Caenorhabditis elegans: one gene and its partners. The protein of the gene in region 4 purifies or fractionates together with the protein of the main gene of each other region. This does not show direct contact. Each region holds a gene or a part of one and is shown on either strand. Other genes may lie near its edges.

Region 1 (8,457 bases), on a different chromosome or scaffold from region 4:
TATAAGCAAACGCGCTCTATTGACAATTGATGGTTGTTTCTTTAAAACTCCAAGTTTTTGTTCACTTTTCGTGGGTTCTTGACAATGAAAATAGGGAAAAATTATGGAATTTTCGGCTTTTTCGAAAAAATTGCGTCACCAGTACGCTAGGAAATATTTAAATTTATAAGCTCTAAAAATCACAATTTTAAAAAGGAAAACTTTGAAAAAAGCAAACACTCTGTTGGCAATTTTTAGATTTCTTTTTCGTGAAAGCAAAATCAAAATCAAGAAATAAAACCCGAAACTTGATCTAAATTTGAAAGAAAAGGGTTTTGATCTCTCCCGCCCCGCCCCTAAAGTACAGCAATAATCTGAAAAATCAACACGTGTTGGCAAATAGCAAAAAGTGTAATATAATGTTTGTAAAAAGATTTGAAATTGATCATTCGGATACCGTTCGGGAATTCGGCTATTTTAGGGGAAAATCGGATTAAAATTCTCGGAGTAGTGAAATAAAAATTATTCAAAATAACAGAAAAATGAAAAACAACAACAAAAGATCAACAAAAATCGGTGGAGAATTTGGTGGTGATGATGGAAACAATAGAATGACGTGGGAGAGGAAAATTGAGTTTTTGGAAAAATGACCGAAATTTACAGAAATTTTGAATTTCCAGAAAAACAATTTTTGTGAGTTTTTTTGTGAAAAATTGAATTTTTTACAAATTGAAAATTTTGAATTGATTTTTGTTCCAAAAAATTGACAAAAATTCCAATTTGTAAAAATCAATATTCTATTAGATATTCTCAATATTGACGGGAGGTTTTTCAGAAGGCAATAATTAAAAAATCGGTTTTTTAAAGGATTTTTTTTGAATTTCAGAAATTTTTTTTTTGAAATTTTCGTTAAAAATTGGAAAAAATATTTTTTGTCATTTTTTCTAAATTTCAAAATTTCAATGGAAAATTGACTAGTTTCAGTGATTTTTTTTCCAAAAGAAAATTCAAATTTTCTGTAAATTCCAGGCTAAAAAGGCTAAAAAAAAAGAAATAAATCATTTTTTCTTCGGGGACTTGGCAGGCGATTCCTGCAGCGACTTCTCCAATTCATTAAATTTCTGAACCCATTTTGCCTTCTGCTCAACCACATGCTTCTTCATAGCCGGATCCTCCAAAAACTGAGCATCCCGTTCGACGCGAAGTCTCCATGATCTGGTAGCTTCACATTTGACACCAAAAGTCGACAAAATTTCATCGGAATCCCGTTCGCTGAGCTGAAACACATATGTTTTAAATTTTTGAATTCATGTAGATTCATCTTCTGAACTCTGATTTTTTTTCGAAATTTCGAGAATTGCTAAATTTATATTAAAATTTTATTTAATTCTTCGTAATTTATTCAAATGCTTCCTAGATTTTTTTCCCCCTTTTTTAAAATTTACATTTCAATCAAATTCTGCGTAAAATTGAAGTTTTTTTGATCATTTAGCATTCAATTCCAATGTGGAAATTTTAACTTCATTTTTCCAATGAAAAATTTGCAAAAAAAAAGCCTCCTAATTTCAGTAAAGAATCAGGAACAACTTCATAATTGAATTTTTCAATTTTGTTTTTTTACTGGAAATTTGGTTGATTTCCAGGAATTTTCAATAAGTTTTTCTTAACTTTTCCAGTCAAATGTTCAGTGGAAAAGTGAAGTTTCCACAGGAATTCCAGTTTTAAATATGAGTTTTTCTACCTTAAAGCATGTCATAAGAGTAAGCCGAGTGACTCTATGACCACCATCAATCAGGCAAAGTGCCAAATCTCGCGCGTTTCTCCAAAGCTCTGCCCGATACAAATCCGTCTTTCCCGCCGTATTCGAGTGCGCCGGCGCCAAATTTTTGAACATTAAATTCGAATCCAACACCCAGACGCCTTGAACTAAACTCGCGCATTCCTTGAGCTTCGCAATCATTTTATCAGTGCTCATTGCGGATGGATCGATTAAACGACGCATTTCAGAAGTCTTCATCACGTGAGATTTCACCATATGCGCCTTTAATTGAAGGTTTGGATCCGGAAGATCATCGATTCGTTGTTTGGAAAGCATATGTTCTTTTCCTGATTCGATTACTCTGAAAAACATTAATTTTAGGGTGTTTCTAGTGGAAATTCCAGTAGAAATGTAAAATTTTTGGTCTTTTTAACGAAAATTACACTAAAAATACAAACATTTTGGAGGTTTTAATGAAAATTACATTAAAAATACAAAAAATTTAGCGTTTTCATGTCAAAAATCTAAAATCCAGGATTTTTCGTTCAAAACAAGTAAAAATTCCTCTAGTTTTGTGATTTACAAGAAGAAAAACTAATTTTCAGGAACATTTTCAATTAAAACAATCCAATTTCAGGATATTTAGTTTTAGAAGAAATAAATTTATTTTTTTAAGGGAAAAATATGAATTTTTAGGCTTTTTCAGCTGTAAAAAAACTATATTTTTGAGATATTTTAAAGTGAAAATCAGACTTTTTGAATTTTTGATGTTTTCCGTCAAGTAACAGAATTTTAATTTTTTTTTCTCAGAAGAAATTAAATTTTGGGAATTTTTAGTGAAAAAAGATTTTGGAAATTTCTAAATTATTTCTGAATTGAATTTCTGAACTGAAAAAAAAAACCAAAATTCCCAAGTTTTCAGCCATTTTTTTCGGGATTTTGTGGAAAAAAACTGAAAAATTCCGTTTTTCCACACTATTTTTCTGTGCAAAATTACAACAAAAAAACGAACAATTCCTCCTTAACACCACAAATAATAGCTCTATTAACAAGAGCTCTAATGCTCATTCGTGAAGCTTCAGGATCGTCCAAAAGGAGTCCATTCTGACTAATTCCATCAATTTTTTCAGCGACAGGGTCACCATCTTTCAAATGAACTTTCATCGGAATCCACATATCACTTGCAATCTTTTTCTCTCGATGTAACGCCGATGCTTCTCGTCGTTTTTTTTGTCGTTCAGTTTCAGGCCGAGAAAATTTGACTCTAACTGCGGCGGAGGATGGCTTAACGTCTTCTTCTTCTCCAGACGAATCTTCATCGGATTTTCCAGATTTTCCGTCGGATTTCTTCTTTTTATTCAACCCTTGAATTGATCGATGCATTTCGAATGCTCCAGTCAGCGGATGAATGAAGAATTCGCCGTTTTTAAAAAATCCAATTGCATTGACTATTGGGTGATCGTGGATGAATGCACGGCCTTCGTAGATCTCATCGTTGGCTCGGAGAGCACTGGAAGAATTGAAATTATGTGAAAAACACACAATTTTCGAATGAAAATTCGAAACTAGGCTCTTCTAAGTGGATAGCAGATCAAATTTTAAAAAACACTGACTTAAAATTGATTTTTCTACTCTTTTTTCAACAAATGTAACGAATTAATTAGCAATTTTTTAAATCAATTTTTTTTCAAAAAACGCAAGAAATCTGTAAATCTGTCCCTACCCTCGATTAGCAATCGAAACATTTAGCAGACCCAACCCTTTTGGTCTGCTAATTATTTAACAGACCAAATTTCAAAAAAACTCCGCATTAAGCCTCAAAAATTGATTTTTCTACGTTTTTTGCTACAAACCGAAAGCATTTTATTGAACTTTTCATTTAAAAAACGAAAGAAATCTGTAAATTCTTTGAAAATCCTCGAATTTTAATCGAAATATTTAGCAGACCCAGCCTCATTGGTCTGCTAATTGTTTAGCAGACCAACCATGGGTCTGCTAAATATTTAGCAGACCCAAAATTGGTCTGCTAATTATTTAGCAGACCCAAAATTAATCTGCTAAATATTTAGCAGACCCAACCTCATTGGTCTGCTAAATATTTAGCAGACCAACTATAGGTCTGCTAAATATATTCTTTACCTTCTACTTTTTTCAAAGCAAATTTCAGGTGTATTTTCATACTTTCAGCATCAAAAACTGTGGTAAAACCTACTCAATTCCATGTCCTTTTTTCGGGACATCTCCATCCATATACATAAGTTCTGCCTTCTTTTTGTCATATGATCCGAGTTGGGTGTCTGTCATGAAGCGCATTTCTAGCTGAAAATCAGTGACATTGAAAATTCGATCTAAAATTGATTAAATTGTGAAAAAAACGGCTACTTTTTCAGATGTTTTTGGGCATTTCTCTAAACGTTTGACAGGATTTGTTCAATTTGTTCAATAATTCTAGTGTCCTATTTTCCGATTTTCAATGAATTCAAGCCAATTTCAAGTGTTTTTCCGTACCAATCGAACATTCTTCTTATATCTGGCAATTGGAAATCGCTTTGCATCCCAGGCGTCTCGTTTGCTCGAAGGATACGAAACAGAGAACATTTCAGTATTTGGTGTGGAATTGCACACAACTACGTCGCATTCCCAAACGACTTGATCTTCAACTGAATCATCCTCTTCATCTGATAGAAATTCCGGTTTTTTGACAAGTTTTCGAATAATTTGCTCTTGTTCGTCGTCAGAAGCACCGTCTACTTCCATTTAGTATGAGATCCTGAAAAATTTGAGCGATTTGGACGGTTTATACGAATTATATATTTAAAAATCGTTTGTTTTTCCTTAGTTTTGTTGAAAAACCCCATTTTTACCTAGAAGAACACAAATTTTCCCGAAAAATTTGGAAAAATAAAAGCTAAAATGCAATTTTTTGTGTAATTAATAAGGATTTTTGTAGAAAATTTTAATTTTAGTTTACTAATATTTTTGGAGAATTTTTAGACACAATTTTTGTGAGATTCTGACTTTTTTTGCGATTTTTCTAGTTCTCTCACGGAAAACTCAGCAAAAATCTCGTCTTTCCAATCAAAAATTCCCAAAAAACCACTGAAAAATGTTAAATTTCAATCAATAAATGCCACGTGGCAAATAAATATTAACAGAAGATGTTAAAACTTCCAAAAATCGATTTAAAAAACCAGAAAAAAATTAAGAAAAAAACATTTTTAGCTAAAAAAACGAAAAATCAACAAACAAAAAGATAAATTCAACAAAAAATGTGTCAACAAGTAAATTTCAATTCATTTTTTCGATAATATTTGCAAGTTTTCTCGGTTTTCCATCGCCTTCCGTAGTGGTTCCATAGGCTTTGTTACGTTGTTGACGGCTTTCCAGGTCCAAAATTGCGGTCTTTTTGATCTTTTTCAGGCCTGGATGGACTTCTGAAGAGCCTTCAACGGGTTCTTCGCCTTCTTCATAAATAAATCCTCCTAGTACCTTGGGCTTCACCTCTTGCGGGAGAATTGTGATGGCGCCAGTGACGAAACTCTCTGAAAAAAATTGTTATTGGGTAATTTTATCAACTTTTAAGCTTAATTCTATGCTTACGAGCTTTAATATTCTTCGAGTCAGCTTCTTCCCGCTCCCTGAACGCCGGAATATGCACCATCCGCTCCTTTTTCGACTTTGGCGCAACAATAGCTCGGAAAACTCCGGATTCTGAAAAATTTCTCATAGATTTTTCTCAATAAAATACTCTCACCTGTCTTCAATTTGGTTTTCGTCAACACTTCCTCGTCGTTTGACCATTTTAGCGCCTCCAAATCTTCTAAACTAACACCAATCGGTTTTTTGATGAGGAAAACTTGAAAATCCGAGCTCTCATCGATCGTCATGTCAGCCACACCATTTCTGGCTTCTTCCTTAATACATTTAATTAAAACCAAAAAAGTTGTAATCAAGAAATTCAATTCTTACCACTTTTTTTACCCGTTTTCCAGATTGCTCTGAGTCCGAGTCCTGGTGCTTTCGTTTTTTGCCCATTTTACTGGAAAATTTTGCAAAATTTCAGATTTTTTAAAATTATAAAACACAAATATATTAAAAATAAATGCGTTTAGCGAAAAAAAATTGGAAAATCTGCAAAAAAAGGAAAAAATATGTTTCACAAAAAAGTGCGATAGGGCGCCGTTGCATACCACAAGAGACTTCACGAAATTGAGAGATTTCACATTGGAGAAATGAGGAACAACGAGTAAATGACATATAATTTTAGATTTTCTTGTTACAAAGTAAATAATTTATTTTCATTTAATAAAATCTTACATTTTATAACACTTTTACTAGGTGTTCAACTAAAAAACCTCGCGTTTATACTGTGACATTCGGAAACATGCGTTCTGCAAACAACCTTTTACCCAGAGAGAGCGTGGTCTCCTTGAGTTCTCAATTTCTATTGATTTTCTTTTTTCTCTATTTTCCAGACGGCTCACTGTTAATTTTCCGGCATTTTTCTCATTTTTTATGAATTTTCTAAAACATTTTCAACTTCAGCCGCTTCCTCACATCAAAATTAACACCAAACCCCTAAAATATCCTACATTTTTCCAGAGAAAATTCATAAAAAATGTCACATGGCTCACCAGCCCCATCGGCGTCGGTTTCCAGTGACGGCGAAGAGCCAGAAATAGACGTGATGCCGAGTAGTGACGAGGAATCCGAGCCAATATACATTCCAAAGGAGAAGGAACCCGTCGTGATTCGTGGAGTTGGAAATATCACAGTGTAGGTGGTTTTTAAGAGAAAAAAAGCTATATTTATCAAAAAAAATCATCGAATTTTCCTTCAGATTTGGCATGAATTCCCGTTTCAACACGGAATATCCGCCCGAACTAACCGGATATATTGCTCCAGAAGAACTCTCGGCGACACTGTCTCGCGTAAATTCTGTGCTCAAACGCCACGTACAAACGTCATCGCGCTGGCTTTTATGTGGATTAGCGTTTTGCTGTTGCTCAATTGGATGCTCAATGTGGCCGGTGTTATGTCTGAATCGGAGGGTAAGAATTCGAAAAATTAGGCGAGATAATTCGGCTCCGTGTTGATTTACGAGGATTTTTTCGCCGATTTTCCAATAAAATTCATCTGAAAAGTGGTTTGAGACACTTTGAATGGGTCTGCTTAATATTTAGCAGACCCATAGTTGGTCTGCTAAATATTTAGCAGACCCACAGTTGGTCTGCTAAATATTTAGCAGGCAATGGCAGTTATGAACTGTTTAGTTTGAAATGTTTGAAACACTTTGATTTAAGGTAAGAAAACCAACTGAAAACCACTAAAAATGTGGAAAGAAACCGCCAGAAACTCGAAAAATCTAGAAAAATTGTGCCGTGAAAAGCCTGTAATTTTTTTTTTTAACCAAAAGAACTGAAAAAATCTAGATAAAATCCCCGTAAATCGACACAGCCCAGTTTTCAGTTAAATTTTCTCTTAAATTCCCCAATTTTCAGACCGTCTTAGCGCTGGAAAAATGTCTGGACCACGAGAATGTTAGCCTTTATCACAAATTGGGCCTCCACTGGTCCCTGGCTCGGCGCCCAACGGAGCCCTCAGACCGCCTGACCGAATATGTGCTCGAATTGAAAACTTTGCCTAAACCCGCCTTAAATCTTCCCGATTAGTCCCCATCCGGAAATTGCGAAATTTTGCACATTTTTCGAAAAATTTCGCATTTTCGCCCACTGTTTCCAAACAAATTTGTACTTTTTTTGTTCTTCCATTTGACCTGATTTTTCCGTATTTCTGTCTATTTTTGTATATATTTCCCGATTGTCATCACCACCACCACTTCCCCCAATGCTTTATTCAGGGTTTTTAGTTTTTTTTTTTTTCAAATCGAATCTAGTCTACCAGGCTTAAATGACTGAAAATTGGCTTGAAAATTATTCGGAAAATATCAAATATACTGAAATTCTTTAAAATTTTGAAAAATATATCTACTTTTCCGAAAAAAAACATGAAAATTCTCATTTCTGAAACTAATGTGAGCTTTTTCGAATTTTTTTGAATCTCAGAAAATTTGAATTTTATCGAAAATTTTCCAATTATTCTTATATACCGAATTTTCAGTCATTTAGACCCAATTTTAACTAAATTCGAATCCGATTTTTCGTTTTTTCGACGCTACGACCCCGAAAAACACCCATTCTTCTCACCTCAACGACTGGTTTTATCTCTTTTTTATTTGATTTATCGACTTTAAAGTTTAAAAAAATTCAGATTCTCCGTTAAAATGAAAATTTAGATTAAAATTTTTTTTCGACATTTGAAAAAAAAGTAGTTTCAAATCTATTTTTATATCTCAAAATGGTCTCTTTTGTTTTAAAATTAAAAATGCCAAAATCTCTTAAAATTTCAGCCGAAAAAAAATGTCAAAAAATATCAAAACGCCGACAAATCAGAAAGTTCTGACCAATGTGGCAGTGGTTCGAATGAAGAAAACCGGAAAACGATTTGAAATCGCTTGTTACAAGAATAAAGTTGTTAATTGGAGAAATAAGAGGTAAAATATATATTAATTTTTAAAAAAATCATATAGAAATCTGAAAATTTTAATTCTCAAACCATTTTCTCAGTGATAAATAAAAAAACAGTTGTTTCTAAATTAACCTTTTGAATAATTTTGTTCAAATATTATTTTTTGGAATTAATATTTACCATATCAAAAA
Region 2 (9,094 bases), on a different chromosome or scaffold from region 4:
GGAAGAGTAAAAACTACATTTGGATTCTCGATTTTCTCATTTTTAGCTTCATCTTCATTTCAAATAATTTGATTGCTAGGAAATGTGCTTTCAATTACAAGAATATTTAACTCCTGGCGTTGTTCTTAAATTCCGACCATATCGGTAAGTCTGTCTAATATGGACGCCAGTTTTTTGCCCAAACTTGGCTCAAATCTTCGATCAAAAAAATTTTCGTTACAGAAATGTATTCATTGGAATATCCAGCGTTGCAATTTTTTTCGCAATCTTAATAATCGTCGAGAATATTATATTTCTGTCCATCGTCAGTAAACAGTACGTTTCACACTGTCTTCAAAATCATAAACCCCTCCTTATTTACAGAAGTATCCCACTTCTTCTCATCCCGTATATTCTCTCTTGGGTGCTGTTCTTTCTTGGATTTTGCTTTGCTCGATTCGCATATCTAATTCATTCGGGTCGTAAAAGCTGTGCATCAGTGATTCCTCTATCCTCTCCGATTGCTTGGGAGGATAGTCGACCTGTGTCACCTGTGCCGGTTAGTTGATTTTACACTTTATACTTTTGAAATTTTATTTAAATTTGAAAGCTGGAAACCAAACAAGTATTAAATATTGAAAACAAATGCGAGTTTTACCCGTTTTGATGCATCATGTCAATTTGAGATCTAGAAACAGTTAAATTTGAAATTATAGCCTTGGTAAACTTGTTGAGATCGCCCTGTTGACGTAGACTTGTATGAGATTGGTCTGGAAAGTGTGATGCTATCATGAAACGCAATCAAATATGAAGCCTTACCATTGCTTTTGGCAGCTTGGTGAAATGTGGTGTCATCCTTTGCTCGCCAACTCGATTTACCATGGCGACAAGACAATAGACGACGGTCTTCCTAACAGTTGATGACGTAGATTGATACGCCTGAAAATGTTATGAGTTCCAATTGAGTTTGCTAAAGTTTTCGTGACTCACTTTAATAATCGTTGGAGTGATATCATCTACAATATTATTCAACTCCTCTGCTGGAAGTTCCTCAAATAATCGTGTTACCATTTTAAGAACTAGAGAAGCTCTTTCATCGTCGATAGGTTCTTGATTTAGAATAACTTTTGCAATATTAATAATATTTGAAAGTGGTAGATGAGTTGCCAATGTTCTCAAACAATCTTCCACAGCAAGAGCCGTTGTTGCGTCGTTCGTATTTACAGCTGCATCCAGAACTTTGCACACTGCCATTTCAGTCGAATCAAACAGTTTTGCAGCTTGCGCGGTGCACATCTTCCCGAGAATTCGTAGGCACATTTTCTTATTATTTTCTGATCGACTTTTTGAAAGAATTTCGAATAAGTTGAGAAGAAGTTTTGCATAACACTGCTCCCACACACCGAAACCTCCATCGCAGATCATCATGTAAATAGAGCTTATTGCACTTTCTTGCTCATCCGCGTTTTCAGAGCTTCTCATCTTTTGTAGGAGGTCTTGAACGTTCTGGATTTTTTCCAGTGTATCAGGTGGGAGTGTGACAGTGGAGTTTAGCTGGAAATGTTGAATATTAAACTAGGAAAAAGAAAATTAAAAAAATGTTATTTCAATCATTTTAATTGAAATTTAGTGACGTAACATATGCAAATATTTGTTTTATCTCAAAATAATTGTTATTTTAGTTAGAACATTTGGACAAATGTTCAAAAATTTCCTAAAGGTTGAAAATTGCCGAAATAAAATCCAACAAGTCTTCAAAATGTTTTAATGGAAACTTTAAACTTTCCGACAACTTTTTCAGTGTTTTTTCAGACTGAAATAAAAATTATTTACAGATAAATCAAATATTTTACTATATTCTCTCTTTAAATTTTAGTAAAAAATTTTGCTATTTAATACGAAATAAAATGTTTTTAATGTTTTTTTTTCTATTTACTCAACGAAACTGGAAAATTAAATTCTAAAAATTGAATAAATCTATAATTATTGAGAGAATAAAAACACTCACATTAACTTTCTCCATGAGCCTTGACGTTGATTGCTCTTCTAGCCTACTCAATGCCAGATTGTTAGAGATATTGAGCGAGCCGAGATTGACGCCAGTTCCGCCTTTTCGTGCTCCAAACTCGGGTAGACCGAATGATGTTGACTCTTTTTGGAAAGAAGTGTTGCTTGTTTCACGAGAAGCCGTTGCTCCAGAGTTGGTTGCGATGTTGTTGCTACTGCAAAAAAGTGATGAGCCATGTCTATGGGGAGTTTGAAGTCATTTCTCATTTCTCATAACGAATGCATGACCATACTGAACAAACCTTATTCCATTTTCGAGTCCATTTCTCTGAAGTGTTTGGTGTATCCAGTTCTTCTGCTCACTGTCAAGATCGCTAATTAGTGCAGAGAAATCAGCGACATTAACACAAAACATGGAGCAAATCGCTTTCTCAACATGTGGTGTTAGTAGAATTGACAGTCTAGGATCAGAGGCCCATGTGAGCATTTTTCGGATTGCGGTCTTCAATTCTTTAGCATTAATGGATGCTCCAGGTTCCGTATACTCATCTAGCAGACTTGTCAAATACTCCAGCAGTACAACACGAGCCTGAAATTTTTTTTGAAAATTATTTAACAATTCTTAAAAATGATGTATTTTTAAAAATCTAATGGGAAAATACCAACCTTTGGAACCATCAAATGTATCGGATCGCACATTAGCTCGCAGACTGTGACAAGTTGGTGATGAGCATTGAAGCATTCAAGGATGACGTTCAAAGTATGACCAATTTGTTTTTTAGTGTTGGGCAGAGTTTCAGCGGCTTTCCGAGCAAACAATTTTGCAAGAGCTAATCGAAGCCATTCGGATAATCGACTACTATGGGTTCGAACGAATATAGAGTAGATCTCAAGAACCATCTAAATTTGAGTTATTTTTTAAATAATCAAAGCACTCTTCTGAATCAGCTTACGGTATTTGAAGCATCCGAAAGCAACCGATTTAGACAATTTCCAATGTTTTTGATCTCAATTGGGTTTAGACTAGTGTCACTGAAATTTTAAATTTTTTGAGGTCAAAACATTTTGAACTTTAAAAAACTCACGCTACAATAGGCAACAGTTTCTTGATTCCTTCCTTTTTCTCCGAAACTGAAGAAGAGCAACATTCTTTCAAAACTTGGGAAACCTTGTCGTGTGCTTCTATTGTCGGTGTTTTCAAGGGAGATCTTATTCGAATCGGTAGTAAAAACTCATCATCGTCGGTAGTATCCGGCATTCCAAGTTTTGCAAAGAAAGACCCGTTTCCATATTTGACTCTAGCTTTCTGTGTTTCTGGTGGTAATGGAGAATTCCTTCTGGTTGGAGATGTGTCACGAGAGTCGGTGGAAGTAATTGAAGATGTTCTTGTTCTAGATCCGGGCCGGTTTGGATATGGAATTTTGGCGGAAAGCAAGAGAGTTTTGAAAAACATAGATATAAAATTAGAATACTTACATCCAGCTGGTGAAGTATCTTGCCTTGCCATTGTTTTTGTAGAAGTCGGACGAACCAGTCGACTAGGTCCAGCAAACTTTGTAGCTTTTGGATCAATTGCAGACGCACTTCTTTGCGCGAGAAATTCTGTTTCAAAGTAACTTTGAACATCCAGTTTGAAATCAAAAACTTACTCGCACTGATATTCATATGAGCTTTCGATCCAGCTGATAATTTCGAACGAATTGGTATTGAGCCCTTTTCACTATTCACACTTGCCCATGAAGACGCTGCATCTCCCCCTCTAAGCATTTTCTGTTTGGAATGATCGAGTTCTAGATACAAAGCATCAGCTTCTTCGGAATGCATTTCGTCAAGTTTTGCAAATGCTCTTCTACCAGCTGCTCTTGTCTCCGAGTCAGCATCATTGATTGCTGATTTTATGAGCTCGCAGATTTGACGCATTATTTGCTGAAAAAATACAATATTTCAATTAGTTATTATCAATTAGTAAACTACCTTTTTGATTCTATCACTCCATTTACTGATAACAATTTCTAGAAGAGCAGCCAGCTGTCTTCTTTGAGATTTGTCCTTGGATGTTGAGAACGAAGAGAGAATTGTGAACACTTGACGGGTTTGTACATACTGAAATTTTAGGGAAATCTTATAAGTTTGTGGATTCAAAAAACGTACTTCTACAATAAATTCTGTCAATGTGCTCGCTGAAGTGGCCATAATCTTCGTGCTAACAGCAACTTGTGACATTGCTGGAACGAGAATATCCTCTCCAATTGAATGAGTCTCGATTCCATATTTACTAACAATGAAACTGCATGTTATTGCGGCTTCTCGTAAAACTTGTGATCGAAGATCCTTCACTGCCAACTCGAAACAACCAAGAAGTTGAACAAGATGAGCAATCATTGTTGGTCGATCGACAACTTTCTCCCCATGAATCACTAGACTTCGGACAGTTTTTAATTGAGTTTGTCGTTTATTCCAGTCTTCGGAACTATTTGATAAAATAATTCGAACTGCATCGAATTTATTACGAAGGTCCACGGCAGAAGTGATGGGCTTAAAAGATTTTTATCTAGTGTTGTATTGATTGGAACATATTTGCAATCGCCAAAAAGGGAAATGTTTGAAACTACTTATATGGTGCGAAAATGACAAAATATCATAGAAACCGTTTAAAAATTACTTGAAATTTGTTATTTTACAGTCAAAAAATGGTACTTACTTTAATTTTCACCTATCATAAATTTGGATGTCGATCGAAAAAATAAATTTTAACTACGAGTTTGACATTTTTTTTCTTTTAATTGGGTTTGAGTTTGACTTAAATATTTCTATTTGAACATTAAATGGGTTCTAATCAGCAGCAGTGCTCGAAATTACCCAAAAAGTCCATACTTTTCGTAAATTGGCATTTTACCAAATTTTTGAAATTCTGAATTTTTTCAAATATTTTGAAAAATGTTCAAAAATTTTTGGAGTGTTTTTTATATTTGGGCATGTTGAACTATTATAAGTACCTATTAATACTCACCACTTTTGGGACATCTTCGAAAATCTTTGTGAAATCCGCTTTGCTAACCGAGTAAACTCCGCTTTTTGGTTGCATTCGGCTAGTCATCCCATAAAAAATGTAAAATGGTTTGAGAAAATCTGAAAAAAAGATTAAAGCTGTTAAAAACCAGAAACTTTTCTGACGTCGAAATTCAAAATTAGCGGACAATGTTCGATAATTCGAGAGGACTCCATGGCTGAGAGGTGTCGTTTTTCCCGGCCACAAATTTTGGCGGGAAATTCAAATTTGAATAACGGAGAATAGATGGAAAAGATAAACTAGGAAAATACAAAGGGCAAAAAAGTCGACGCACAAAAAGTTGTAGAAAGTGGTTAGTGGTGTGAGTGCGGGGAGACAACACCCAGAGCAGCTGTGTCCGAATGGGGCAAAAACGAAGAAGAAGAGATGCAAGAGATACCATAGAGAGGACATCGTTGGATGGACGGCAGACGCGTCATGTCATTCCGCTCCAATTTAACACATGTTGGTTTTGAAGGCAGATGTGAGTGTGCGCACAGGAGGAGAGACTATGCCAAAAAATGTTTCAATTCTCATGAAACAACCAGTCTAAATGTGAAGCGATTTGAAATATTACGAGAAATTTGATATCTCGATGGAGTGGTCTATTATAACGAAAAAAACCACAAATTATACGTCGCTTTTCCGTTTTTTTCTTTTAGTGAGCAGGCATTTATGCATGTGAAATAAGTATAAACATGCTCTCAAAAAGACGGGAAAAATAAGAAGAAGAAAATGGAGAAAAAAGAAAAGGCGCCGGCGTCTTCTTTCTCCCATCTTCTTCGGTCCTTCCATTTCTGTTGTCTTGCTCCGCGAGCAGCCAATTGATTGTAGTTTCGCGCCCAAAAGGGTAAATGGAATTTCAAATTGGAAATGGAGAAAGAGCATCTAGAATTGAAGAATTGAACAACAATTGAAGCTAAAGACTTGCAGAGAGAAATAACTACTGCAAAAAAGTCTAGTGAGCAAATAAAAGGACAAAAGAAGAGTGTTTGGATAACTAACAGAATATGACTCTTTAAATATATGCTATTTTCGTGTATTTACAGGAATCGATAGGTGCGCCTAAAAGGGTCGATGCACTGAAATTACAAAAATATTATAGCTACATATTTCTACGTTCATAAAACGTTCCAGAAAACACATTGAATATACAGTTTTTGTTCACAACAGTCAACTTGAAAGAAAATATAAAATAAAGAAGAAACAATAAATTAAAATCTCAGCCAGTCATCGCCTTCCGCTGTCCGTAAAGAAAGAACAAAAGAAAATAGAATAAAGTGAGGGAAAATCGAAAATTTATGGAAATTATGGGAATTGAAATGACATGTTGGTTTAGATTATATTGAATAGGCTAATGCATTTTGTATGAATAGGGTCAATTATAGTAATTTCCACATTTTTCCAGCCTTCTCCGATTGTTGATGTTACAATGGTAATTCCACCAATGATTTATCGAAATTCACTTACTGTACCAACAAGCCCGTTCTTTATCACTGATAATGGAATCAGGTATGTTCTTTTAATGTGTTTTTATATATCTCAAACTCAATCCCTAAATCCACCTAACTTGAAAAAGTTTCAAATATTTTTGAAACATATACTCATTTAGCAAATTTCAGCACGTATCGTGACGAGCCACCATCATACAATGAAATTGTGGAGCGTGGTGTATCTCCGATTCCAGCACAACCAGCCAAAGTTGCACTTCCAGACGTATAAAATCCTGTTAACTCGCATATATTTTATTCTGAATCTCTCTCTCACCGAATAATTTAAATTTTAACATTTTGTATCAAATTTGTATTCTTTTAAATATCTTGAGATTATTGTATCTTTTATGTGTCTTCTAAACTTCCTTCTGATAAATTACGATGCAACAATCTCCGAAAATTGAAAATTTTAACATAAAATATATTTCTCAATTGAATTTCAATATTCAAACAAATTTAATAAACTTATTTATTTTGATTTTTGTGACCACATATTGTGGTTCGTTGAAAACAAATGAGCGTCTCTCCACCACCAAAAATTTCTAAAAAGTGGCGCAACAACAATGAGAAAGATGTGAAAAATAGAGCAACTGGATGGCTTTTCAAATTAAAAGCTTTTTGACGATCATTCGGTTACTCATATAGAGAGAAAGAATACTTATGAAAGACGATTGGCACGGGAAATGAATGAAAAAGTTATTGGGTGACTACTGGTGGTCGACGCTCGATTTTGCACACTCCGTTGACCGAACGCATTGAGACAGGACACGTGGCTTCTGCAATAACATTTACACGCTATATAACTTTCGATCTTTCTTTTTGGAAATTGAACTTACGACAACGTTTGATTATTTTTCGATTCACTTCCATCTCTAGAAGCACTTGATTTGGTGGGCAGGGAAGTGTGGTTTTCGTTGGCTTCACGTTTTTCACTGGCTTGGTTTTCTGAACTGGCTGTGGTTTTTGACGCCTTCGTCCTGGGTGCATATATTGTGAAGCCATCTGAACGGCTGCTGATGCTATCGAATGAGCCATTCGGAGAGGTTCAGGTCTTTTAGATGTGATATCTTTTATCTGAAATGTTTAGTGAAGGCTCTCTAGATGAAGGAATGAATAGTTACCTGAATAATATAGCTCTGCATATTCAAAGGTTGTCGTTTTTTGCAACAATGTGTCTGTTTTGTTTTTGGCGACCTTCTACAGAAATATCCTGGAGGGCATGTTGCATATCGAGTACAAATCACTGGTGCTTTTGTTGCCGGGAACAACAAAGCTTCACCACCGTCACAAACGTCCTTGAGAACTGAAAAATATTTGTTCATATCTTTTATCCCTGAAGGTTTTATCCCTGAAAGCTTAAGATTTAAGCGGGCATATTATAGCGGGCAAATATTAAAGATGCTTCCGCAGATTCCGATGATCTTAGCTTACCATAGGTCCTCATGACTAGTTTGTTTGCTGCACAACAGAAATAATTTTTCGCTTGTGGACTCCAAGTACATGAATACCCAACTGGACATGGTTGTCCACTGATGCATTGCCTTGCGATTCCATTTGCCAGGTAAGGTTGTCTCGGTGCTGGGCAGATACCTTCATTCATGATTTCAGCATGACCAGGTTGTGGCTGCCAATTGGAACTTGTTGTCGTGATGACTGCTGATGATGTAGAAGACATCGGAGGTTGAATCTGTTTCATGACATGAGGAGAACCCGTTGCAAACTTGTTAACATTCATTGGTAGAGAAGGTCTCACAGATTGTTTCTTATCGCAACGATGGCCTTTTCTAACTGATGACTCGTCACAATCACATACTCCATCAATACATTGACCCATTCCCTGACATTGAGCAGAATGTACACAACTTCTTCCAAGTGTTACCAACGGGAAACATTCGTCTTCTACTTTAACTTGTTTATCAGTGCATTCTGTAAACTTGCTGATTAGTTTCGCATTGTATTTCTGAGTGTTAACTCACTTATTTCCCGTTCAATTGAGACATCCATACACTGTTGCTTCTGTTCAATTGTTCCAGTTGGACATGAACATTTCATTGCGATGCAATGTGATTCACCAACACATTGAGGTGTTTCTTCACACTGTTCTCCAATTAAAACTCTATTCAGACACACTCCATTCACAGGGACTTGGGAAGCTTCGCATGCTGAAATATAAATTCAAACTGTACAACTGCCTAATTATTTTCGGGAACTAACTTTCTCCACCAGCACAACATAACTCAGCTCCACTCTTTCCACGAACACACGAGAATCCATCAGGACAGGCACTTCCTCCGTTCATTGAACACGCTTGGGCTTCTCCAGTTATTCCAATAAATGCAACCATTTGTACTGGACAGTCGCTTGGCATTCCACAACATTGGAATTGTTTGTTTTGATTCGAGAATTGACAGAAATATCCAGCTGGGCACGATAAACTTGCAGATGTACATATTTTTGGTTTTTTAGTGTCTGGGTCGGTGTATGCAATCTGGCGAGTTGGGCAACCGTCATCTAATAAAATATAAGAACTTTAAATTTTTATATCAAGGAATACACTTACTCTCCA
Region 3 (7,065 bases), 3.5 Mb from region 4:
CAGAGATACAGGACAATATCGTAAACAGATGGGTGGAGCCGAGAATTTATGTCTGTATCCCAACATTTTTGGGCGGGCAGGAACTTTTAAAACATTTTTGTGTCTCACTCTAATCAATTTGGAAGAATTTGTTATCACTGATGATATCCAATGATTTGTCAACAAGAATTCAGTTTTTCGAGAATGATGAAGAAAAAGAAGATGTAAAGAATCATAAATATGTGTAGTAGTGAATGGAAAGAGGTGGGATATGTAGATGATATAATGATAATCATGATGGGAATTGGTGATGACAAGATCAATTGATAGGGTGGCTACTACTGGTGGTGAATGAATGTGGTGGTGGACAGAGAGAAATAGAGAAATACAAGATGGAAAACGGAAGTTCCAGATAGTACAACATAGATATGGATTGCTTAATTAAGCAGAAGGAGGTAAACTTTGGGAAAAGGGCAAGCGAGTAAAGATTCTTAAACAGTTTCTTTGCATATTGGAAATCCAAAGTAGAAAGAAGAATATGTATCTGAAAATAAACGTATTCGAGCCAATTCCTAGACTTCAAAATTAAACATACCACAATTCCTCAAGCAAGTTCTCGAAAACAGTGCAAAACGTTTGAAAAAAAATGTGATAAAGAATAATTCTGAAAGTGGAGATTTTATCTTTAAATTTTTGGTAAATACGGCTTGTCTCGTTTGAAGTCTGAGAGTGAAATTAACACATTTTCTTATAAGATCGAAAAAAATGACAATCATTCACTTTCAGCCACTCATAATTTTGAAAGTCGACCAATACATTCTACTAGATTTACATCTATTACGTTTTAATTATTTACATTTTAACATTATAAGGTTTCGGACAACAGTATTGCTTTGATTTGAGTTTCCTGCAAAAAACCCAAATTTTTTAAAAATTGGTAATATCCAAAAACTTTGAGGGAACTTTTTCAAATGTTTTGAAATGCTTAGAGTGTTTTATTCCGATATTCTTTCACTATTGTAAATGTTTCTAGACAAAATCCTAACTGACTACTCATATACCTTTAATTAAGTGGAAACCCAGATTGTTTCATTACAGTAAGACTAGAGCTACGAGTTCTCAAAATTCTAAATAAATGACTTGGTTTTAAGCCATTTATTTAGAATTTTTCTTAGAAAATAAATTTGAATTTTTTTGTCAGATCTACGGTTTCGTTAGTTAGATTAGAAGTCGTGGTGGAACCAGCCAAATACAATGACTTGCGCCTTTAAAGTTATGTTTCACATAGTCATGAATACAATATCATTAAAACTTTTATGCTTACTATCGAATATTGAACGGTGTGAAGCAGAATGAACAGAAAGACAGAAAAAATTTCCTGTTTCAGGTTTCAATAAAAACATTTCTCTTCGGGGTATTCATAATAAATATTCAATTTGCTAAGTTTGTTGAAATAGACTCTTTCATCAATTCTCATGTTTAGTGATGAAGCCAATCTTTACAGGAACACATCACGAACGAATGAATCATTCAGATGAGAATAAAAAGAGAAAAAACCACAAAAAAGTGGTGGATGAAAGGGAAGAAAGTGTAACGAATGGTGTAACAAATGCTTATTTATATTTATATTTATGTGGAATTGAAAGAGAATGAACAGAACAAAGGACAAAGAAAAAGTTATCAAAGTGATGGAATTGAAGGTAGAAGCAACAAAAACGGAAAACCAAATAACTGAAAAACGTTCATTTTTTTTAACAATGATAATATGACAAAATCAGATAACATAACAACTCGGATAAATTTTAAAAAAACAACGAAGTAACAAATTTTAGTTTTCCCCTGAAGCCAAGAACAATTTGAAAGAGAGCAAAACTCGAATTGATTGATCCTGAGCAGCCAGCAAAGTAGCCTGAGCTTTACGGAAGCGATTCAATTGTGCACGATCTGGACCAGGAAGGTACATTTCTTCAACTTCTGCAATTTGTGCCAACTTTGAAGCTTCATCGAGTTGCTCAGAAGAGCGAATGTTTTCAATAATTGGTTGAACATTCGCATCCTTGTCGAGCACCGATTTATTTTCAGTTCGTTCATGTCGTTGACGAACAATAAGGTTTCGGACCAATTTGCAAGTGTACTCTACGAGACCACGAATAGTACGAGGTAGATCTACATAGTAGAGATAGAATGTGCGAGCGGGTTGGAAATCGTTGCTACGACCGACAGGCTGAAATATTTCAATATGTTGAAGTACAATAATTTTTGAATTCGTGTTATACCAACTATTCAGTAAATTAAAGTAGAATAATTCAACCGAAAATTACCTTATTGAACACATATCCTTCTTCAACTAATGCGTATAACATTTCTCTTGCTTCTTTTCCACTCATCATGCTCAACTTCTCTACTTGTTCTTCATCCAGATAATGACGATTTTCAAGAAGTCTCATAACTCGAATTGCACGTCCTTCGAACTGTTCTCTGATGAGCGATTCACAGTGATGACGACAGATTTGACGAATAGCGCGACGAATGTCTGAAATAATTTAACTTTCATATTTGAAAATCTTCAAAGAATTTAGAGAGAAAAAAACATACCGACAATAAAAATACCTCCATTTGATTCTCCAAGTTTTCTGATAATTCCGTCCGATTCATCAACAAGGATCTGGCAAGCGAGTTCAATATCTGGCTTGGCAAGGTTCAGTCCATTTTCTTTAACAAGTCGTTGCAAATCGGTCAACTGAAACGGAATAATAACCATTTTTTAATAATCACTAATCAAGCAAAAAGTAGGCTTACACTGGCTGTGATACTCTCCATACTCATTGGTTTAGCTCTCGTTTCGTTAATTTTGAACATAAGATGAGCCACATTCTGTGTGATGTATTGAGTTCTATCTCCTTGTGGATCTTCGATGGTTTCTTCTTTTTTGACATTTAAATTTGTCATTGTACCTTTTGAACCACCTCCAATAAGATAATCAATAATAAGCTCATCGCGAAGATATCCATTGAATCGGATCCAATTGATTCTCCAATATTGACCTGCATCACCATCCTCTGGAGTTGAATCAGCTTTTCGCTTTCGGTTGTTTGAAGTTGAGTCGCTAGTGGATGTTCCTGTAATAAAATATATGGAATTTATTTAAAAAGATTACTATGGTGCTAAAATGCCCGAATATGTATATCATAATAAAACATTTCAAAAAATTCGGAAAATCATATATTTTGAACCAAAAACCGGTGAAAACTCATTTTTCACCAATTTGTTTGGATGCTGTCAAGCAAATGTTTTTTTTCAGTTTTATTATGTTTGAAATATTTATATTTCATAGTGCTTCAGATTTCTCTAAGAGCGAACTCATTTGAACCACTTTTTAACACGAATTAAAACAAATTTTTAAAAAATTTAGATTTCAATATTTAGTAATTTAAGTATCATGCATGATAGAAATAAATTTAATCATTTTCCTACATGTCTATTCACTATTTATTTTTGATCACGATTTCAATCGTAATAAATACAATACAATACAATACAGACCGCATTCTAAATTTAAAGATTGCTTTATACTATTTTATTCTCATTACCTTCTTTCTTTTCCATGATATTAGTAGATATTGCAAATGGATCAAAATTGGTCACAAATTGAGGACAACCATGAATTTCTGATTCTACAGACGGAACTCGAATGAGAAAATGTGCAGCTGCGAGTTCTTCGAAAGATTTCTTGATGTCACTGAACACGGCCGTCTCATCTGTCGCTTGAATTCGACGAATTGTCTCGGATACGGTAAGCCGCCCTTGAGAAATAAGTTCGACGCAGATAGACTCTGCAGCAGGTCCGTAGAGCGTTTTAGCAATGAGGCAAGCTCTGAAAATTATATATTTGGCTCTATAAAATATATTTACAACTTTTTACCTCGGCGAGGAAATGACATGTTGAATTTGGTCGGAATCTGCAACATATGTGGTTCGATTGTTCGTGTCCAAGTGGAAAGTAACAAAACCAAAGTTGATCAATGTGGAAACCGATTTTCTGATCTGAAAATTTATCTATTTTTTCTGCAAGTGAACTCAATATCCTCCAAATCAATATAACTAACTAGAGTATTTGAAATTTGTCCTTTCAGTTTATAAAAAAGAGTAGACAACTGGCAGCTTTCTTTCAGAATCGTCTCCATTACTTTCGCCACAATCTGTAATTCAAAAAAAGTTTAAAAAGAAAGTTTTTAAATTCTTACCTTTCCGAAAATATCTTCGATGATAATTACACACATTTGAGTCTCATACTTTCCACCACCCATTTTTGATCTGAAGGTCTTTTAGTAAAAAAGCTTTCCTTGGAAGTTTTACAGATATTTGGCTTTGCAACCGCTCTGGAAATTGTTTTTTGAAAATATTTTTTTTAAGTGTTGTTTCTAATACAATAAAAACAAGTAAAACAAAACAAATAAAAAGTTAACAAAAAATTCAACAACTGGCAAATAAAAATGCAACAAAAAACATTATTGTCTTCTGCGAATAGCCCTTTTTCGTCCTTCCTTCTTTCCTTTTGCCGCTTTCTTTCGTTCCTTTTGGGATTTTTTGTGTCGTTTTGTGTCCCCGCCAGCACCAGAAGATGTAGCACGCTTTCTGAATAATGGATCATATGTTGGACAATTTTAAAAGTTAAAGATTACCTTTTATTTCCTTCGGAAAGTGCTCTACCATCTTCTCCTCTCATCATATAATCTCCAAAACTGAGCAAATCATCAAGAGTTTCCGAACGTCCTAGTTGTTCGCTTCGTCGTTTCTGATCCTTATTCAATCGAATTCTGGTGAAGTTATCCTCCTCATAACGTTCTCTCTCACGATCATATTGATATTTCTTCTCACTCATCTCTCGAATTTCTTCCGGAGCATCACTGTATTGATTTTTGAGTTCCATAATAAGACTACTTTGCATTGCACGACGTTTTGCCTTTTCTTGTTGCTTGTTCGGAGCTTCGTCTTCTTCTAAAATGAACATAACTTTACGGAAAACTAATTTTTGAACATACCTTCATATCGAACTGCTCTAATTCTTGGTGCCACATATTTCTTAACTTCCTTTGCTCCTTTTCCTTCCTCATCATCTTCATCTTCCTCCTCTTCTTCTTCATCTCCTTCAACGTCCATATTGTCTAATCGAACTCTGTGATTTCCCTTGGAAGAACCATTTGATGCTCCACTCTCGGCGCTTGACCGGCCTAGTAGCTTTTCAATTTGAGGTTTCATCTTATCCTCGACTGGTTTCATTTTTTCAATGAACTGAAACTAGTTTTTTAGGAACAGTTGGAATACTAAAATACATACCACTCTATGCTTTAAAGCTCTTTTAACAGATGGTTCTACTGTAATTGACTCTCCTTTCATCATTTTCGACATAAGGACAGTCAACTCTCCAAGGTACGCTGTCATTTCATAGTTTTTCAGCTTCAGAAGACTAAGCCCCTGTAAATAAAAAAGTTTTTGAATAAATCTTGAGGTTTTCATTTCACTTCTTTGTCATCGTTCGTTTCCTCCATCCGATCGAAAACTTTACTGAAAGCTTTTACTGCTTCTGCAGTTTGAGTTTCCAGTTCTGCCACTAAATCAGCAAACGCTTCTTGCTCCGTTTCGGTCATCTGAAAGAAACGTTTTTTTTGATACAACACAAATTCAAAAAGTTAATTAATAAGATCATTCAAGATAAATTGTTGGAAACGTACCACACAAAAAAAAACAGTTTAAAAAAGAAAGTAAAGCGTTTTCTAAATTTATTTTTCTTTGGTTATTGGAATGCGTGAATTGAGTTATTTGTATAAAATTTACAGAAATGGTGGATAAATCTTTGATTAAATTGTTATCTACACGGCGGAAGAAGATGGTGGTGGCGGTGGTGGTGGTCCATCATTTCCGTCGTTTTTCGCATATGCCATAAACATTTCTTTAAGAAATGATAACTCTTTCTGTAGCTGCTCGACCTGATAGAGGGAATTAATTAAAATTAAAAAATCAAGTAAACAAGTACCTTTCTTTCTAGTGTTTCGTTCTCCTTTTTTAATTCGTCTACTTTTTCTGCAGTGTCATTTTCTTCCTGGCGTTTTTTTTGTCGGGTTCTGGAATTTTTAATTAGATTTTAGCGGCTAAAAATGAAATTTTACCTGTTCACAGCTTCGTTATTCCGTTTTCGTTTAGTGGAATAGTCATCTTCATCGTCCTCACGAGGCTCTGATGTGTTTCGCTTCCGATTTCCACTCATCGCTTGAAATTGCAACAAAAAATCGAGGAAAACTATGGAATTAATAGAAAAATGATGGAAAAAAGGTTTTGTGGAATTACGATAAAGTACGCGCGAGTGTGTAAAACGGAGCGTCGTTGCGTGAGACACCACAGAAATTCGAGAAAGGGGAACTAAAACTCCTGAAAAAATATATAGGAAAGAGCTACTTTCACGATATTCACGATAAATTAATTACTTTATATTTCTCGAATAAAACTGAATTTATTTTAAAATATAGTAAATGAACTATGTACTACACAAATTATTTAGCCAGCCAATGCAAAAGTGGAGGTACAGAGAGCATATAACCATGATCGTAGATGTAAATTCTCTTATCATAAGCATTATAGCTAATCATATTGGCGTTCTTGTACAAATTAATCCATTTAATCAAAGGTTGGGAGTATGTGTTTCTGTAGAAATCGTATGCCGTAGAGATATACGTGGATTGTTCTGATGCACTTTCCACCTGGAATAATGTTGATTTGATTTTGCTATTGGTCAAGCTTGATATCAAATAAAAAATTCTAAACCAAATAAATTGTTCCACAAACGACGATTCCATTTGCAACATCTGTATGATTTACTGTCGTGAGGTTGAATGCCTCATAAATTGTCAAATTATTTATATCCACCTGGAATAGTACCTAGTAGATAGATTTCAATGAACAACTTAAAATTACTTTAGCTACTGATAAGAAAGCTTCTTCCTGATAGTGAAACATGACCCAAAGTGCATTTTCATCGATTGCCAAGTCAAAATAATTCATCGAATTATTATAAAGGTACTGAAATTGGAA
Region 4 (6,121 bases):
TTATTGGTTCTTGTTGAGTTGCAACTCCATACAATCGGACAACATACTTGTGGTTCAGTTTCAGCATCAGATTAGCTTCACGAAGGAATGTTATTCTGAAAAATATCAGTATTAAAGTAGTGCGGATTTATTCGGATGGGTCTCGCAGTGATAAAAAAGTGTTTTAATAAAAAAAGCTGTATACATTTCATTTCGTTTCGAGACCAGCAACCGTATACTTGCGTCGCAAAACCGCTAAATTGTGCATTTGGGAAATATGCAACATATCCCGGCGAGATACCACATAATTTAATTAAAAATTATATAATTTAAATCGTTCAAGTTTTCAATGAGTTTACCTTTCATCAGCTGTAACTTTACTTCCTTTCATCGTTTTCACAGCAACTTCCACATCATTTGTGAATATTCCAACAGATAGAACTCCTTGGAAAACCTCTCCAAACTCTCCGTTTCCCAATTTCTTTCCCAAATTAATCTTAAAGATTTCAGATAATTGAGCAAACATGAATATTTGTGCATCGAAGAACTCTAAAAACCTGCTCATGGTACAATTGCCATTCTTCTCTGACCACCCAACTGAACAATTTAATTCCAGATTTGTAGACGCTCGCTCTAGTTTGATGATGATAACGGACAAGATCACTTATGTTCTGGAATACCATTAAATACTTTTCGTATAGAAAATATTAAAACATGGTGCATTACATTTGTCAAACGAGAAAATCTTACTTCGAAACAAAACTCTTTCAGATAATAAAGTCCATTATTTGCCTTCTCCACAACCAAATGATGAACACCTTCATCCCAGAACACCGAGAGAACTACCACTTCTCCACGTTTTGTTAGCTCAGTTTTACGAAGAAGGAACTCTCCTTGTGAGCGAACCAGTTTTTCAGACTCTTCACGAGACATGTATCCATGATAGAATGGCTCATCGTCGAGAAGTGCTCCACTACATCCACTCCAATTTGTGATCTAAACCCACTAGTTTCAGTTCCTTTTTAGATAGGAAAATGTTTACTTTCTTGAGTTTAATCTTAAGAACATGATGACTTTTCACTAAGGAACTATTACTTTTATCTTTATTCGGTGCCGACTCTTCAACTGACTTTGAAAGTGAAGTGGATGCACCATCACTGGATGTCTGAAATTTATCCCAAGATATTAAGATATTCCTTCTATATATATACTTCATCCGTTGCTTTCAACAGAAGATCGGGTCCGCGAACAGCGGTTTCCACTTCAGAACGATCTTTATGACGACGATTTCCTCTGCTGGCACTCTGAATCAACTTCAACTAAACTAACACTCCAGACTGAAGAAAAACGTACCAACATTGATTTACTAAAAATTCAAAATGAAATTGTTTTACTAAAAGATGAAACGTGATAAATATGAAATGGAACAAAAAAACTGGATAACAATAAATTGGCAACAACAACAACGACTTGGTGATGGTAAATATCAAAGTGATTATTATAAAATTATGATGTTTGTAAGCCAGTAGCCCATTTTTCTGCGAGAGCTCCCCATTTGCTCTGTTCTTTTTCCAGTTGCTCAATTTTCTTTTCGTCAACTGCGTCAGAAACCTCATCATCTCTCATTTCAACGTCGTTTATTTCTCCTGCGTCATCAATTCGCTTCGACTTTTCATTCAATGCTCCCCAGGTCATTGATCCAACCAGGTTATGCTTCACATTTCCAAGGTGGTACAGCGAATTAATCATTTCTGGAGCACTAGAAAATGTGGATGGTGCTTGAAGTTGATCAGCATTTGGATCAACTTCAAGAAGAACAGTTCCTTGTTTCTTCCCAGTAGTTGGCTTTGATGTGATATCTATTGAATGCCCACCGATTTTCAGAATCATACGTCCTTTACGAGTGACTTGCAACTTTCCAATTTTTCGGTTTTGTGGCAGACCGGATGGTGGAGGTGGAGCTGAGACGATTCCAGTTGGAACATCATTGTCTGGTTCATCCACTTCCATTGACGCTTCCACATTTGCTTCGATATTATTACATATAGATCCGATAACGGATGGAAGCTGGAGATGAAGAAGATCGCTAGAAGAAGCTTCTAACATATTGATCAATTGTTCAGGAGTCGCTTTTCGTGATTTTGGCCCTGATTCGGTATTAAGCGGCTTTTTCTCATCAATCGGAGCTTCATCTTCTTCCAATGAAAGGCGTGCACTTTTGTTTATGATGTTCAGAAACTGTGGTTGATCTTCAGAAGGCAAAACAACCGGCATTATGTTTCCTCTTCTCAGATCACTGATAAACTGAAAATTCGTCATTTTTATTGAGAAAAAAAAGTAGTTAAGCTTACTGGTGGTGGCATCAGTGCTTTGAGTTCTTCCTTATCTCCTTCATCATCACTGCACCACAAAGCATCCCAGCCTTCGAAAGATGCTTTTCCTGCGACGTTTTTCTCTTCTTTTTTCCCTTCTTTGTTATGGTCACCAGTTGATGAAGAAGGCGCTCCGCTTCCTTTTTCTCGGTTTGAATACGAAAACTCTACAAACGAGGCTTTTATAAATTTTCTAAAACTTTCAAACGACTTACGCGAAGCATCTGAATCTTTATCCTTCTTCCTAGATGGGAAATCGCCTCCTAGACCTTCAGAAAATACTCCTCCAGTTTGTATAAGCTCTTGCTTGGGACGGGGACCTGCTCCTCGACCTCGAGCACCACGGCTAAAAATGAGAAATTTGATATTCTACGATAGAAATATTTGAAATACCCTCTCCCAGCTCCTCTTGTCGATGTAGAACCTCCACGATTATTTTTCTGTTGAGCGGGAGCCTCTCGCTTGCCAGCCAGGGACAAATTTGGGCGTCCCGGCTTCGACATGATGCCTTTAATAAAAATGTTATGTTGAAAATTGTAAAGAAAATTAGAAAAATGTCGAAATCAGGTAAAAAATTGCTGAAAATATATTTATGAAACATCGCTCCACTGGAAAACGCACGCGACGCGTGACCGCAGCGCGGCCAAAAGTTCTCGTTTCGCCCGGACTGCCCAACGTTTCCACTCTATTTTTTCGTTTCTTAAGTTTTTTGTTCTATTATTCTATTTTTTTTGTAACAAGTTGTCTTATAATATAATCCCTGAAGCACGCTTAAAACTGATTTCAGTGTTTTAATATCCGAGTCATCCTTGAAAATATTTCTTAGGAGCAAAGTAATAACAAATTTCATGTTCGTTTTTACACATCAAAGTCAGAGTTTTATGGCTCACCGACTATTATGTGCACAGACGGGCTTAATATTTTGAAATTAATCTTGTAAATTGAGCTCATTAAATTTTCTAATAATTTAAAAATGTGTTTTTAATCACTCAAAGTAATTTTTATAAGTAACTTGGTTTAGAATTTTGTTTTAAAAGCTATTTATTTTAAAACGGAATTTTTTCTCTTCTATATTTTTAGTCGGTATGTACATACTTTATTTCATGTTTTTCAGCAGGATGTTGAGCCGCCAAGTCATTCGCCCAATTGTCCAAGCCGTCAGAAAGGGCCACAGCAGCCACTCGCCATCGGCCGTCACGTACACCGGACAAGGACCAAACACTTTCGTCAATGACGGTTGGGCCTCTGCTGTAAGTTTTTTTTCCCTAACGTTGCGTATCTAAATTATTATTGATCAGAACGGAAACGCTATAAAAAGTTATTGTAGAAGTTTCGAAGTGAAATTTTTTTAAATCTTCTCAAAATTACGTATAAAGCAAAACATACAGAAAATGTCGAAAACTTGTTGTATAACTATTTTACAAATTTTTAATTTAGATTTTTTGGCAATTGTTAATTTTAATGAACCTCCAATTTCGGAAAATGGTGTGATAAGATCTCTAGATTCCACAAAGCTTTTTGTAGTATTATTCCTGAATAAAACATTCGTGCCGTCAATATGGTAAACGTATTTATAAAAAAACACAACCTTAAGATGTCAGACCATCTACGAAATTTCAAAATTTGTATCGTTTTTATGTGCAAATACTATATCAAAATGAGTATTTAAGAATAATTCTCAAATCAAATCAATAATTTTCAGCGTCTCCCATTCCACGTCACCAACAAGTGGGGATTCGCCGCCAAGGCCGTCACTTTCCTCGCAATCGGATTCTGGGCTCCATTCATCGTCGTCGAGTATCAACTCAGAAAGGCCAACCAATAAATAAATTAGCTCAACCCGTTTTCCAAAATTATTTTGTATAGTGATGTTGTTTTCTTCTGACCTATGCTGTTTTACAGTGTCAAACGGTACAACAGCACGGTTTTTGACAGAATAAATAGACGACCTGTTCGGATGTTGTTCTTCGATTTTAGAGGGGTTGTGGGGGCTTGTAAGATGAGAAGCACCCGTTCTGTTTGTATCGCTTCCTCCTGTCATATGCTAATGAAGCGGACGGAACCCAGGTAATCTGCACTCTCGTATCGCTCCATACTCTTTCTCTTGATCAAACAAACGGTCTGCCGCCCATGTTCAACCTCCCACGAGCCGTAGACGAAGGTTGAGTCACTTGCATATCGATCGTTCTTCCTTTATTATTAGTTTTCTTCATGTAACCAAGATGATTCCATTTTTAGTCTTTATTTTTATTTTATTCACACCTATCAAGTCAGATCTATGGGCCGAGACGGAACGAATGCCAGATCTGCAACAAGTAATTAGATTTTTGTTGAAAATTTGAATCTACAAATATATAATATCTGAATTTCATTTTAGTGGCGTGCACTTTGTGGTTATTATGCTGTTGCAACTGCATACATGAAGGATAGTAACGCCCGGGTTACTGTATTTGCTCCCGTGGATGATGTTTTCACTTATAATCCGACTATCAGAGCAATGGATCAGAAAGAAACACTTTCACATATAGGTAAAACTCACAAACAGTTGTTTTCGAGAGTCACGAAAAAATACGGTAACAGGTCTCGACGCGATCGAAAAACTAATTTCGAAACATCAAAACTTTGAAACATACAGTACTCTTTAAAGGCACACGCGCCCTTCTATAAAATTTTCAGGCCGTGTCGAGACCTGGTATTGTATCTTTGCGTTTTTTATCGCCCAGGTTTGTAACTGAGAATCAAAATTTTTGGCGAGCCAGGCGTCATAAATTTTAATAAGATGAAAAGTTTTTCGTGAGCCTATAAGGAGTACTGTAGTTTCACCACTACAGTAATCCTGAAAGGCTCTATCTGCTCGAACTTCATTTGAGAGCATTTAAGTCGTGTCGAGACCATAGTTTCACGAAAATCTCATAAGTTTAAAATTTCAGTGGATTCACAAGTTGTCGAACTGACGCAGAATAAACTATGGGACAAGCAGACATTGATTCGTTCGACTATAAACTCAGGTTATACATATATTACACAATTCGAGAACAATCCTGGAAACTTTGTAAGATTGATAATATTGAAAAAAAAATATTTGGAAATTGCAGTCTTACTTTGCAAATGCAGGAATGATGTGCAATCATGCTTCAAATCAATGGGGAATCATTTCTGGAGAACAATATCTTTTTAAAGTAATTTTTTGAAGCTCAATTTTCAGAGCAGTTGAATTGAGTTGAATAGGACAATAGCGAACTTACAAGAGCATACATAGTTTTTTTTACAAAAATGCATTTTGCGATGCGAGACCCATCCGTATAAATCCCGTTAACTCGCCAAAACCTCTCATAGTTCATTTTTCAAATTTTCTAGAGCACCTTATATGTGTTTGAAACGTAGAGAAGTTTGTGAGATAGGCGACAAAAAGTTCCGAGAAACTATAGCTTTAATTCAAAGGCAGGAGAGTAGGCATATTTGTGCCTACAGTAATGACCAATAAAAATTCAGATTTGTACACCAATGGGGCATCGTCCATATCCAGGAACTGCATTATCATTTATCAGAGAGCATGATGGATCAGTTTTCGAAGAGAGACAATACAATAATCGAGATTTATCGTTAGTTTTTATTTCCACAATTTGATAGGGAAATTTCTGTTCTTTTTTCCAAAACCTTAACTTTCCAGACAAATTCGTGATATTCTGGATCGTACTCCAGACATTGCGTTAGTAATTTATGGATCCTCAGCTTGGAATGGATTCCATACTTTCTTCATTCCTAATGAT

The links.
Region 1: the proteins of F26E4.4 (region 4) and W06E11.1 fractionate together in Caenorhabditis elegans (co-fractionation; one large-scale study listed by BioGRID). This does not show direct contact.
Region 2: the proteins of F26E4.4 (region 4) and cls-3 fractionate together in Caenorhabditis elegans (co-fractionation; one large-scale study listed by BioGRID). This does not show direct contact.
Region 3: the proteins of F26E4.4 (region 4) and let-611 fractionate together in Caenorhabditis elegans (co-fractionation; one large-scale study listed by BioGRID). This does not show direct contact.

The regions. Positions count from the first base shown.
Region 1 is NC_003281.10:638,110-646,566, reverse strand, and holds W06E11.1 (RNB domain-containing protein), read right to left. Parts: upstream 4,509-8,457; 5' UTR 4,496-4,508; coding exon 4,247-4,495; intron 4,058-4,246; coding exon 3,951-4,057; intron 3,249-3,950; coding exon 2,751-3,248; intron 2,100-2,750; coding exon 1,721-2,099; intron 1,257-1,720; coding exon 1,038-1,256; 3' UTR 501-1,037; downstream 1-500. Other genes in the region: tag-267 (Major sperm protein), read right to left, coding at 5,027-5,280, 5,339-5,449, 5,493-5,652, 5,708-5,773; tag-266 (Golgin subfamily A member 7/ERF4 domain-containing protein), read left to right, coding at 6,357-6,514, 6,579-6,789, 7,240-7,410; sbds-1 (Ribosome maturation protein SBDS), read left to right, coding at 8,158-8,291.
Region 2 is NC_003281.10:9,185,995-9,195,088, forward strand, and holds cls-3 (Protein CLASP-3), read right to left. Parts: upstream 5,116-9,094; 5' UTR 5,084-5,115; coding exon 4,997-5,083; intron 4,522-4,996; coding exon 4,138-4,521; intron 4,090-4,137; coding exon 3,961-4,089; intron 3,913-3,960; coding exon 3,636-3,912; intron 3,589-3,635; coding exon 3,072-3,588; intron 3,019-3,071; coding exon 2,940-3,018; intron 2,887-2,939; coding exon 2,653-2,886; intron 2,576-2,652; coding exon 2,289-2,575; intron 2,202-2,288; coding exon 1,988-2,201; intron 1,534-1,987; coding exon 970-1,533; intron 919-969; coding exon 799-918; intron 750-798; coding exon 690-749; 3' UTR 564-689; downstream 1-563. Other genes in the region: ZC84.7 (uncharacterized protein), read left to right, coding at 83-144, 223-315, 364-538, 6,444-6,547, 6,658-6,757; ZC84.6 (BPTI/Kunitz inhibitor domain-containing protein), read right to left, coding at 7,225-7,304, 7,365-7,602, 7,650-7,831, 7,960-8,454, 8,505-8,690, 8,743-9,039, 9,089-9,094. UniProt on the Caenorhabditis elegans protein: Microtubule plus-end tracking protein that promotes the stabilization of dynamic microtubules.
Region 3 is NC_003279.8:6,252,263-6,259,327, reverse strand, and holds let-611 (DNA-directed RNA polymerase III subunit RPC3), read right to left. Parts: upstream 4,294-7,065; 5' UTR 4,287-4,293; coding exon 4,224-4,286; intron 4,179-4,223; coding exon 4,086-4,178; intron 4,024-4,085; coding exon 3,902-4,023; intron 3,854-3,901; coding exon 3,570-3,853; intron 3,099-3,569; coding exon 2,779-3,098; intron 2,720-2,778; coding exon 2,575-2,719; intron 2,513-2,574; coding exon 2,301-2,512; intron 2,204-2,300; coding exon 1,808-2,203; 3' UTR 1,708-1,807; downstream 1-1,707. Other genes in the region: lpd-2 (LiPid Depleted), read right to left, coding at 4,488-4,614, 4,662-4,977, 5,022-5,271, 5,317-5,454, 5,502-5,627; cebp-2 (CCAAT/enhancer-binding protein homolog 2), read right to left, coding at 5,850-5,966, 6,014-6,101, 6,147-6,244; cof-2 (Olfactomedin-like domain-containing protein), read right to left, coding at 6,528-6,734, 6,799-6,900, 6,949-7,053.
Region 4 is NC_003279.8:9,769,707-9,775,827, forward strand, and holds F26E4.4 (DNA-directed RNA polymerase III subunit RPC4), read right to left. Parts: upstream 2,860-6,121; 5' UTR 2,855-2,859; coding exon 2,745-2,854; intron 2,698-2,744; coding exon 2,567-2,697; intron 2,519-2,566; coding exon 2,331-2,518; intron 2,284-2,330; coding exon 1,486-2,283; 3' UTR 1,355-1,485; downstream 1-1,354. Other genes in the region: F26E4.5 (Tyrosine-protein kinase), read right to left, coding at 1-95, 339-475, 537-650, 730-975, 1,022-1,144, 1,191-1,283, 1,333-1,338; cox-7C (Cytochrome c oxidase polypeptide VIIc), read left to right, coding at 3,470-3,601, 4,054-4,176; F26E4.7 (FAS1 domain-containing protein), read left to right, coding at 4,574-4,666, 4,729-4,879, 5,282-5,403, 5,447-5,530, 5,844-5,953, 6,022-6,121.